3 linked regions of the Tribolium castaneum genome follow. The protein of the gene in region 1 binds, or shares a complex with, the protein of each later gene. Links are inferred from orthologs where the notes say so. Each region holds a gene or a part of one and is shown in the gene's direction. Other genes may lie near its edges. The genes, in order: DNA polymerase epsilon subunit 3, PolE4 and transcriptional adapter 2-alpha.

The links.
Region 2: DNA polymerase epsilon subunit 3 (region 1) and PolE4 share a complex: the UniProt entries of both Drosophila melanogaster proteins name them as parts of the DNA polymerase epsilon complex. The link is inferred for Tribolium castaneum from reciprocal best matches to the Drosophila melanogaster genes Chrac-14 and PolE4.
Region 3: DNA polymerase epsilon subunit 3 (region 1) and transcriptional adapter 2-alpha share a complex: the UniProt entries of both Drosophila melanogaster proteins name them as parts of the ada2a-containing (ATAC) complex. The link is inferred for Tribolium castaneum from reciprocal best matches to the Drosophila melanogaster genes Chrac-14 and Ada2a.

What each region holds. Positions count from the first base shown.
Region 1 is NC_087394.1:1,508,957-1,511,171, reverse strand, and holds DNA polymerase epsilon subunit 3, read left to right. Parts: upstream 1-1,174; 5' UTR 1,175-1,246; coding exon 1,247-1,517; intron 1,518-1,565; coding exon 1,566-1,675; 3' UTR 1,676-1,691; downstream 1,692-2,215. Other genes in the region: centrosome-associated protein 350-like, read right to left, coding at 1-825; E3 ubiquitin-protein ligase LRSAM1, read right to left, coding at 1,808-1,927, 1,979-2,202. UniProt on the Drosophila melanogaster protein: Accessory component of the DNA polymerase epsilon complex. Participates in DNA repair and in chromosomal DNA replication. Histone-like protein which promotes nucleosome sliding of ATP-dependent nucleosome remodeling complexes.
Region 2 is NC_087395.1:5,462,373-5,464,311, forward strand, and holds PolE4 (DNA polymerase epsilon subunit 4), read left to right. Parts: upstream 1-780; 5' UTR 781-888; coding exon 889-1,101; intron 1,102-1,151; coding exon 1,152-1,292; 3' UTR 1,293-1,308; downstream 1,309-1,939. Other genes in the region: E3 ubiquitin-protein ligase Hakai, read right to left, coding at 38-225, 277-484. UniProt on the Drosophila melanogaster protein: Accessory component of the DNA polymerase epsilon complex. Participates in DNA repair and in chromosomal DNA replication. Has a role in cell cycle progression. Required for wing morphogenesis.
Region 3 is NC_087398.1:11,845,044-11,848,809, reverse strand, and holds the start of transcriptional adapter 2-alpha, read left to right. Parts: upstream 1-1,488; 5' UTR 1,489-1,569; coding exon 1,570-1,630; intron 1,631-1,673; coding exon 1,674-2,526; intron 2,527-3,766. Other genes in the region: rhodanese domain-containing protein CG4456, read right to left, coding at 728-1,159, 1,215-1,217. UniProt on the Drosophila melanogaster protein: Component of the histone acetyltransferase (HAT) complex ATAC; predominantly involved in acetylation of histone H4, including at Lys-6 (H4K5ac) and Lys-13 (H4K12ac).

The sequences.
Region 1 (2,215 bases):
CAGTTCTTTAATTTCTTCCCTCGATTTTGTTTCCAGGGGCGGAGTCCCGGAATTCTGCACCCCAATGTCGATAAAATTCCGGGGCGAATTCACAGCAAACTGCAATTTTCTCTTAACTGTGTTTATAAAATTGTACGGATACGCCGCACAAGGGGGCTCCAGCCAGGGCGCCCCCTTGTCGCACGTTTGCGTCTCTTTCGCCTCAGACGACGTTTTCGCCAATTTCTGGGGCTCCCGGGCCTTGGCCCTCGAAATTCTCTCGCTTTTTTGCGTCTTTTCGGAGCCCTCAGAAACTTTTTGTGCGGGCGACTTCGAGCGGTCGATTTTCGGGGGGCCCCCCTTGTCCTGTGACTTCGGGCGGTTGGTTCGGACAAGGGGGCCCCCTTTCTCCCGCGCCTTCGAGCGGTCGATCCGGACAGGGGGCTCGCCCTTGTCCCGCGATTTCGAGCGTTCGCGCTTCAACTGCACGTTTTTTGTCACCAGCTCGAGTGTTTTCTGGTGTAATTCTTTCAGTTTTTGCTTTTTCAGATCGAGTTTATTGTCAGTGGTGTTGATTTGGGCCCGCAATTGTTCGGCGCGTTTTTCCCGCTGTTTTTTGATGTAGTTACGCGCCTCGGTGACGTCATAACTGCGGGGCTTTTTCTCGGGATCGGGGGGCGCCTTTTTTTTAACGGTTTGGGTATCAGGGGCTGGCTTGTGGGTGGGGGGCTCAGGGGGCTGGGTCCCAAGACTTATGAGCTTCTCTAGCTCGGTTTTGAGCTGTTCGATCTCTTTTTTTGTGTTTTTTACACGAGTGCTGACATTTTCCACTTGGCTTATGGACATTTCTGAACCCCCTTTTTTTAGCGAATTACGACTGGAAATTGATTAGACTGACGTACAATTCACGAATTGACCCACATTTGTGTTAATTTAGGTGAGAAAATGCAAAATTAACTCACCTTTTTCACATATTTTCAAAACGTCAACCGTTTATAACATAACCTCAATAACCAAGGCCAACAAGGGTGAATAGTTCAAGGCCCCCCACCAAAACTGCAAAAAACAGCCCCTAAAATAAACCACCCCATTCGTCACGAGCCCCCCAAGCTTAATTAAACAAAAAACACAAATTTATAATTATTAGGTGACCAATAATAAACAAATTAATGATTTTTTAATCAAAATTCAAACATGGCGGTTGGCATTGCGCATGCGCGTTTTTTGTTTTTGGTGGGAAAAGTAATTTTGTGAATTTTGTGACCAAATGGCCGAAAAACTGGAAGATTTGAATTTGCCGAACATGACGGTGCAAAAGATAATTAAAGACGCATTGCCTGAACACGTCAGTGTTGGTAAAGACGCCCGTTCGGCCCTGTCAAGGGCCGCTTCAATTTTTGTCCTGTACATAACCTCACAAGCCACCAAAGAGGCGCAAAAAGTGAACAGAAAGACTCTTCTGGGTCAAGACATTCTAACAGCGTTAGAAGAGCTCGAGTTTGACGAATTCGTGGAGCCCTTAAGTGTGATGCTGAGAGGTTAGTTTTTTTTTGAGGTTATGTTCACGTTTCAAAAACCGACTTCAGATTTCAAAGAAGCGAAGCAGAAGAAGAAAGTGAAGAAGGGGGCCGACGTTGAAATGGCGGAAGACAACGACGAGGAGGCCGTGGAAGAGGAAGAAACGGGAGAATCGTAATAAAAAATAAATTTTTTGTGATAGTTTTTTATTCATGAGAAAAAGTAACAACTGACTAGATTAAGGCCACAAATCGTGCAGAATTCACACTTTAGCAACACTGAGCAAAAAAAGTGACGGCAGTTGAACGAACTATGAAATTATTCTAATTTTGCGTTCGATTGAAGTCCTGCACATTGGACAGTCGTTCAAGGTCACAGGACACTGGGAACAGCAACAGAAGTGTCCACATGGCACGAAAATCACCTCACACTGCAAAAAAAAAACACCAAAATTCGCCTTAATTTGAGATAAACAACATACAGTTGAGTCCAAACAAATGACGCATTCAGTCCCCAAATTTGCGACATTTTCGAGTGGTGGCGCACTTGCCTCTTCGATTGGCAGCACTGGAGCTGAGGGGGCCGTATCGGTCGGTATTTGCTCCTTTCGGTACATTTGGAATGCGTCTAAAATGTGGACCCGGTCCGATTTATTCACAATTCCCACTTCTTTGAGGTCGCTTTCTGTGATTTTTGCAACGTTGCCTGCAAATTGGTT
Region 2 (1,939 bases), on another chromosome or scaffold:
ATTTTAGTAGAAAATGTATTAAAAATAAAGAGTTTACCATTCGTCCATAGATTAAAATCGGCTTCAAACACTTATCACAGCAATGAATCATGGGATTGAGCACTTTTTCGCCAATCAAATTCACTTTATGTGACCAATCTAGCCGCAACATTGGTTCTGGTGGCCCTCTGTTAATTGTTGTAAAAGTCGGTGCTTCCAGTTGGGAGATGTCAGCTTCCAAATCAACTATAACATTCAATTGTCATTCAAGGCTGACTTTAATTCAATTAAATTTACTTTTAGGTGCCACATTTTCGTTAGATTCACTTTCAGTTTGTTGTGCCTCTTCGGACGATTCTTGCAGTTGGGAATTATCCAGTTCTTCATCGCTTTCTATCACTTTTATGGCCTTTTTACCACGTCCGCGACCTCGGCCTCTTCCCCGACCTCTGCCTCGACCACCGCGACCCCGGCCGCGGCCCCTCTTGGGGGTACCATCGTCCATCTATGGGCAGAGTTATTGCAACAAACCCAACAAAACACTAAAATAGATGCGGTCAAAGTTATTACCTTTTATTTACTTGATCGTTGACGTAAGAGCGTCCATAATTTTGAGGTTAAGACTTTGTCAAATGAAGGGATACCAATCCACTTGGTACATCATTCAAAATTGAATACAAACCGCAATAAATTAACTTAATCAATAAAATTATCAATCCCTATCAATATACCGCATAAAAATAACACAACTGTGAGACAATCTAAGCCAAAATTGTATTTTATTACTAATTTTTTTAAATAATTTGGGGGATTTCGTTTTGTAACCACCTTACCTGACTTTGAATAGCGCGCGATTGAGGTTATGTTGTGAAACTTGAGTGGTATTTATTTAAAATTTTAACAAATAAAATGGAAGATATCAACGAAGTGGATATAGAAGAGATTGAGACTGAGAGGCAGCCCGTTACCGAAACGCCAGAATTCGTAGAATTAACCACAACATCCCCCGAAAAACCCAAATTAGTGAAACTACCCCTAGCTAGAATTAAACACATTATGAAAATGGACCCAGACTGTAATTTAGTGAGTCAAGATGCCCTATTTCTCGTGACCAAATCAACGGTAACAAAAAAAATTTGAGTGTTAGCTTAGGTACTCAATTAAAATTTCAGGAGATGTTTCTGGAGCACCTTGCTAAAGAGTCTGGCAAGTTTATGGGGATGGGGAAAAGGAAAACTGTACAGAAGCGAGACGTCGATGCCGCAATTGATAATATACCTAGTCTTTGTTTCCTTGATGGTGCCTTGGAATAAAATACTTTTAAGATTATTTTCAGTTAATTTTGGTAAATCTTATCCTATTTTCGTGTTTGCGCCTTCGCAGTTATGTTTAAAAAAAAAACAAAGAATAAATAGCAGATCTCTTTTCGAATTTGGAAGTTTTTTGTCTTTTCGGCAAATTATTCCTTTCATTTTCACTGAAAAATGTTTCTAAATTCACAATAGAGAACCTAACTAAATTAAGGATTTTCCAATTAGCTTCGGAAAAATCATTTGAATTTACATATTCGACGTAGGTTCATATGTTTTCTCTTTTTTGCCAATGTATTTCTAGATTAGTGAGTTTCTAATTGAAGAACACTCGCAAAATTCTCGAAAAATAATAGGAGTAATAGAATTAACATATTTGCGTCAGATTTACTCTAACAAGTTTCCACTTTATTTAGAACAAATCTCACAAAACGGTGAAATATGTTTTCAAATAAAGTCATATACAGGGTAAACCAGGGGTGTCCAATCGGTCCATAACATTTTAGCTAATTGATATATTGCCATGTCGTTTTTATTATCCCATATAACATGCTGATTCTTTTAGGACCTACAATTAGAAACTTTTTAACTTCTTATAGCTAGAGCTTTAAGATTTTGTATACAATCCAAATCGACCATTCTGAGTTCAA
Region 3 (3,766 bases), on another chromosome or scaffold:
TCACTACGTGCCCTACGTTAATTCACAAAATGATGATTAATGAGTCTGTCTTTGTTTTTGTTGCATCTCACATCTTCAGTTTTTCTCTGAATTCTACCCCCCTAGGTAATGTTGGGCACAAAAATTGGGACAATGAGAGGAAATAAATAAGAAATATTGAATTGAAACGCTTTTATATTAATCAAAAAGATTCAACCAGTGAATTCTTGAATGACATGTTAAAAATCAAAGCGCATGCGCGCGCACTTTTTCAATTTGACAATTAACATTTAAAAAATCCAACAAAGAAGACGAAAAGTTCGAGGAAACTGTCCCACGTTATTAAAAGTACGGAAGGGGGTCATGGAGTAGGTAAATGTTGTTTTCAAAACGGCGCTGATGTTTTTTTGCAATAAGTGTTTGTGTCCACATTGGCGCTGGATGCTCCTAACATCAACAAATGAAGAAATCGTATCTAATATCCACTTCAGGGCAAAACACATGCAAAATTATTATTTGGTTTTGCTTTTGTGAGTATTTTTGACTTATGGTGATCAGGCCTTTCAAAAGGTGTTATCATTCAAAAAATTTTTGACGAGATTTGTAGATTGCAAACTCTTTTTGACTTATTTTTTAACATTCCATGTTTATCACTTTTGTGCCGCAGTAAATAAGTAAATACGGCACTACCTAAATCCAAATCAAACTACAACCCCTACACTCATATAACGTATTATTTATTTACAACTCAAATATTTTTACTTTTTTCCTCCCACTCTAGCCACCCCCCGGAATAATTCTTTATATCTTTGAACCCCAACTTCGTCGCAATCTCGGACGCAAGGGCACTACGTTTCCCCGAACGACACGAAAAAATTAAGGGGGTGCTAGAATCAGGTTTAGCCTTTTTGTAAGTTTTTTGAAATTGTTCAGAAGGCATGTCTTTTAACACTTTCTCGACTTCGCCAAGTGGAATATTGATGCTGTCAGGAATAACTCCGGTTTCCTGCAATTCGTGGGGCTCCCTGACATCGATTAGAAGAGTCTTAGGAGTCGTTTTTACTGACTTGACTTCATCAAATGAGGCGATTTGCGTTGCGAAAAGTCTAAGAAAGACGGGCGTTTTGTTCACAAGGGAGAGGATTTGGGGCCCCCTTGATAGCGACATTGGTAACCTAACCTAAAAAATAATTATGTAATTAACTTAATTGATTAGTTTTTGTAAAGTGAACTACCATAGCGCCAATAAAGCGATTTTTACTATTTTTTATCGCCTGTTTTATTAAATTACGACAGTTTTGGCAAAAATCAGTTTGGAGACTTTTTACAGTCACCGTTGGTATCACACAATTCACACAAAACAAATTAGAGGTCCCGTGGCTACAATCAAATTTTCCCCAATTATTTTTTTTTTCACGTTTTATGCCGATTGCGTTCGAATTACATAATAATTTCATAAATAATCGTCAAAAAACACCGCACTAGTAAAGTGCTAGTGCTTTAAATTTTGCCAGGTAGGCAGCGCTTGCCGCTCACATAACCTATGCACATAACCTAAGTTTTTGTGGTATCCAAACAGTTTTCGAAAAAATGGCAAACGCAAACACCGACTTAACCGAAGAAGACGCCGCTGACTTGCAGTTTCCCAAAGGTGAGCCCCCTTGTTTACTTCTCGTTCTCAACTGAGGTTTCAGACTGTGGCCCCCCTGCGTTTTACTCTAGTGACTCTGATAGTGTTTGTTCGAATTGTTCGTGCGATTTGGTCGCGCCTTACATTTATTGCGCTTTGTGTAAAGTGAATATTTGTTCGCTGTGTTTTTCGAAAGGTGCGGAGTTTGGGGGGCACAAGAACGATCACGATTATCACATAATCCGCGACGATTTTCCGGTTTGGGGTAACACGGACTGGACGGCTCGGGAGGAGGTGGTGTTGTTAGAGTCGTTACAAAAATACGGGAACTGGAATTTAGTGGCGAAAGAGTTCCCAAATCGGAGTGTGAGGGAGATTAGGGCGCACTACGATTGGTTTTATTTAGACAGAAAGGGGTCCAAAGACTTGCCCGAGGCGAGCAAAAGGGACTGGTTTTGTGAGCCGGTGGTGCCCTACAGACAGCGGATTAGCGACACCGATGAGCCCCCTCGCTACTCCCCCAACACAGTGGGGTACAAGTCTTTGGCCGGTTATAACCCCGCGAGGTCCGATTTCGAATGCGAGTTCGATTCGTCGGCTGAGGATCTGCTCTCGAACCTTAAACCGGTTGATAAGGACGATCCTCATTTTGACTTGATCACAAATCTTCAATGTGCGATCATTCAGAGTTATAACCGGCGGTTGAGGGAGCGCCAAAGGTGGAAAAAAATCATAAGAGAACACGGATTGATTATTCTGCGGAAAGTTTACGCTTGGCTTCATCGGTATGACGTTACGATTACACGTCCTGTGTATGAAAAACTGATCCGATTTATGCAATTTTGTACTCCTGTCCAGTTCGAAATGTTGATGGAGGGGTTACACCACAGCGGCGAACTCAAAATACAAATTCTTAGGTTCATATCAAACGGTTGAATTAATATAAAGTTGGTTATTTTCCATAATAGCGGCTTATTGAGTTCCAAAAAAACACGACGGAGAAAAAAATGTTCACTAAAGATTAATAAAAACAAAGAAAAATGTTAAAACATACTTCAACAGTTAGTGGCGTGACGAAAAATAATACAATTTGTATTTTGGAAAAAAAAACACTTGTAAAATTCGATGAAAAATTCTCAAACTCTTCAATATTCACGGAATTTTACAAAACATTGTGTTCAACTCGTAAGTTTTTTCCAGAAAGAATTCACTTTTTCTATCTCGTTGCACAAATAGCTATTTACAATGGAACCGTTTTGGTTTAAAAAAATCTCGCGAAAAAAGTTATATCACTCGCTAAATGCAGAATTAACATTTTTTTCAAACAAATCGGCGCTTCAACACTCGAAAAAGCAAATATAATGCTAATTTCGTTCTAATCGCAATTTTTTTGGCTTCTTTTTGAGCAAATGTTGCGAAATAAATGTGTTTTTATGGATGAACGTGGTAATAAATCTCATAAATAGTAAAATATTGTCATCTTCGAGCAGATTTTTTAAGCAAGTTTAGCAAAATTTCAGTAAAAATTGCGTTTTACCTTAAAAAAACGAGCTTTAAAATATGATAGTTAAGAATATAATTACATATATATTTAATTATTTTATTTATTTATATAATATATAATTGTTATTATTATTTATATTTTATTATATTAAATATAATTAAAAATATAATATAATAATAACAATTTGGTGATTACGTTTTTTGAAGAAATGCTAAACTTTCGAAAAAGGCAGAGTAATTAAATTAAATTTCTCGTTCAAAAAAGGAACTTAATTGAGCAAAGTAAACTAAAATAACCCCAATTTAGATTTAATTCTGTGAATTTCTAGCTAGAGAATTTTTAAACACTTTAATTTTTACCTTAAAACATGTATAAAGGCTCACAAAAAGCTGCAACATAGCATTAATTTTGGTCTTTAAAAATCTTCGGCTTGCAAAAGCAAAAGTTTTGACTTAATTTTGTGATTTTTTTGAGTAACATCTTTTTTTGATTGATTGACAAAACTCCTCATTTTTTGGCCAAGAAAAACGATCGACTTTTGTGTTATCTCCTCCTGGTTTATGCTTTTATGTCATTTTTAAACACAATTTAAAAAAAAATGCTAAAACACGTGAAATTGCAAAGTAATGTTTTTTGGCGAAATATCACAAAAT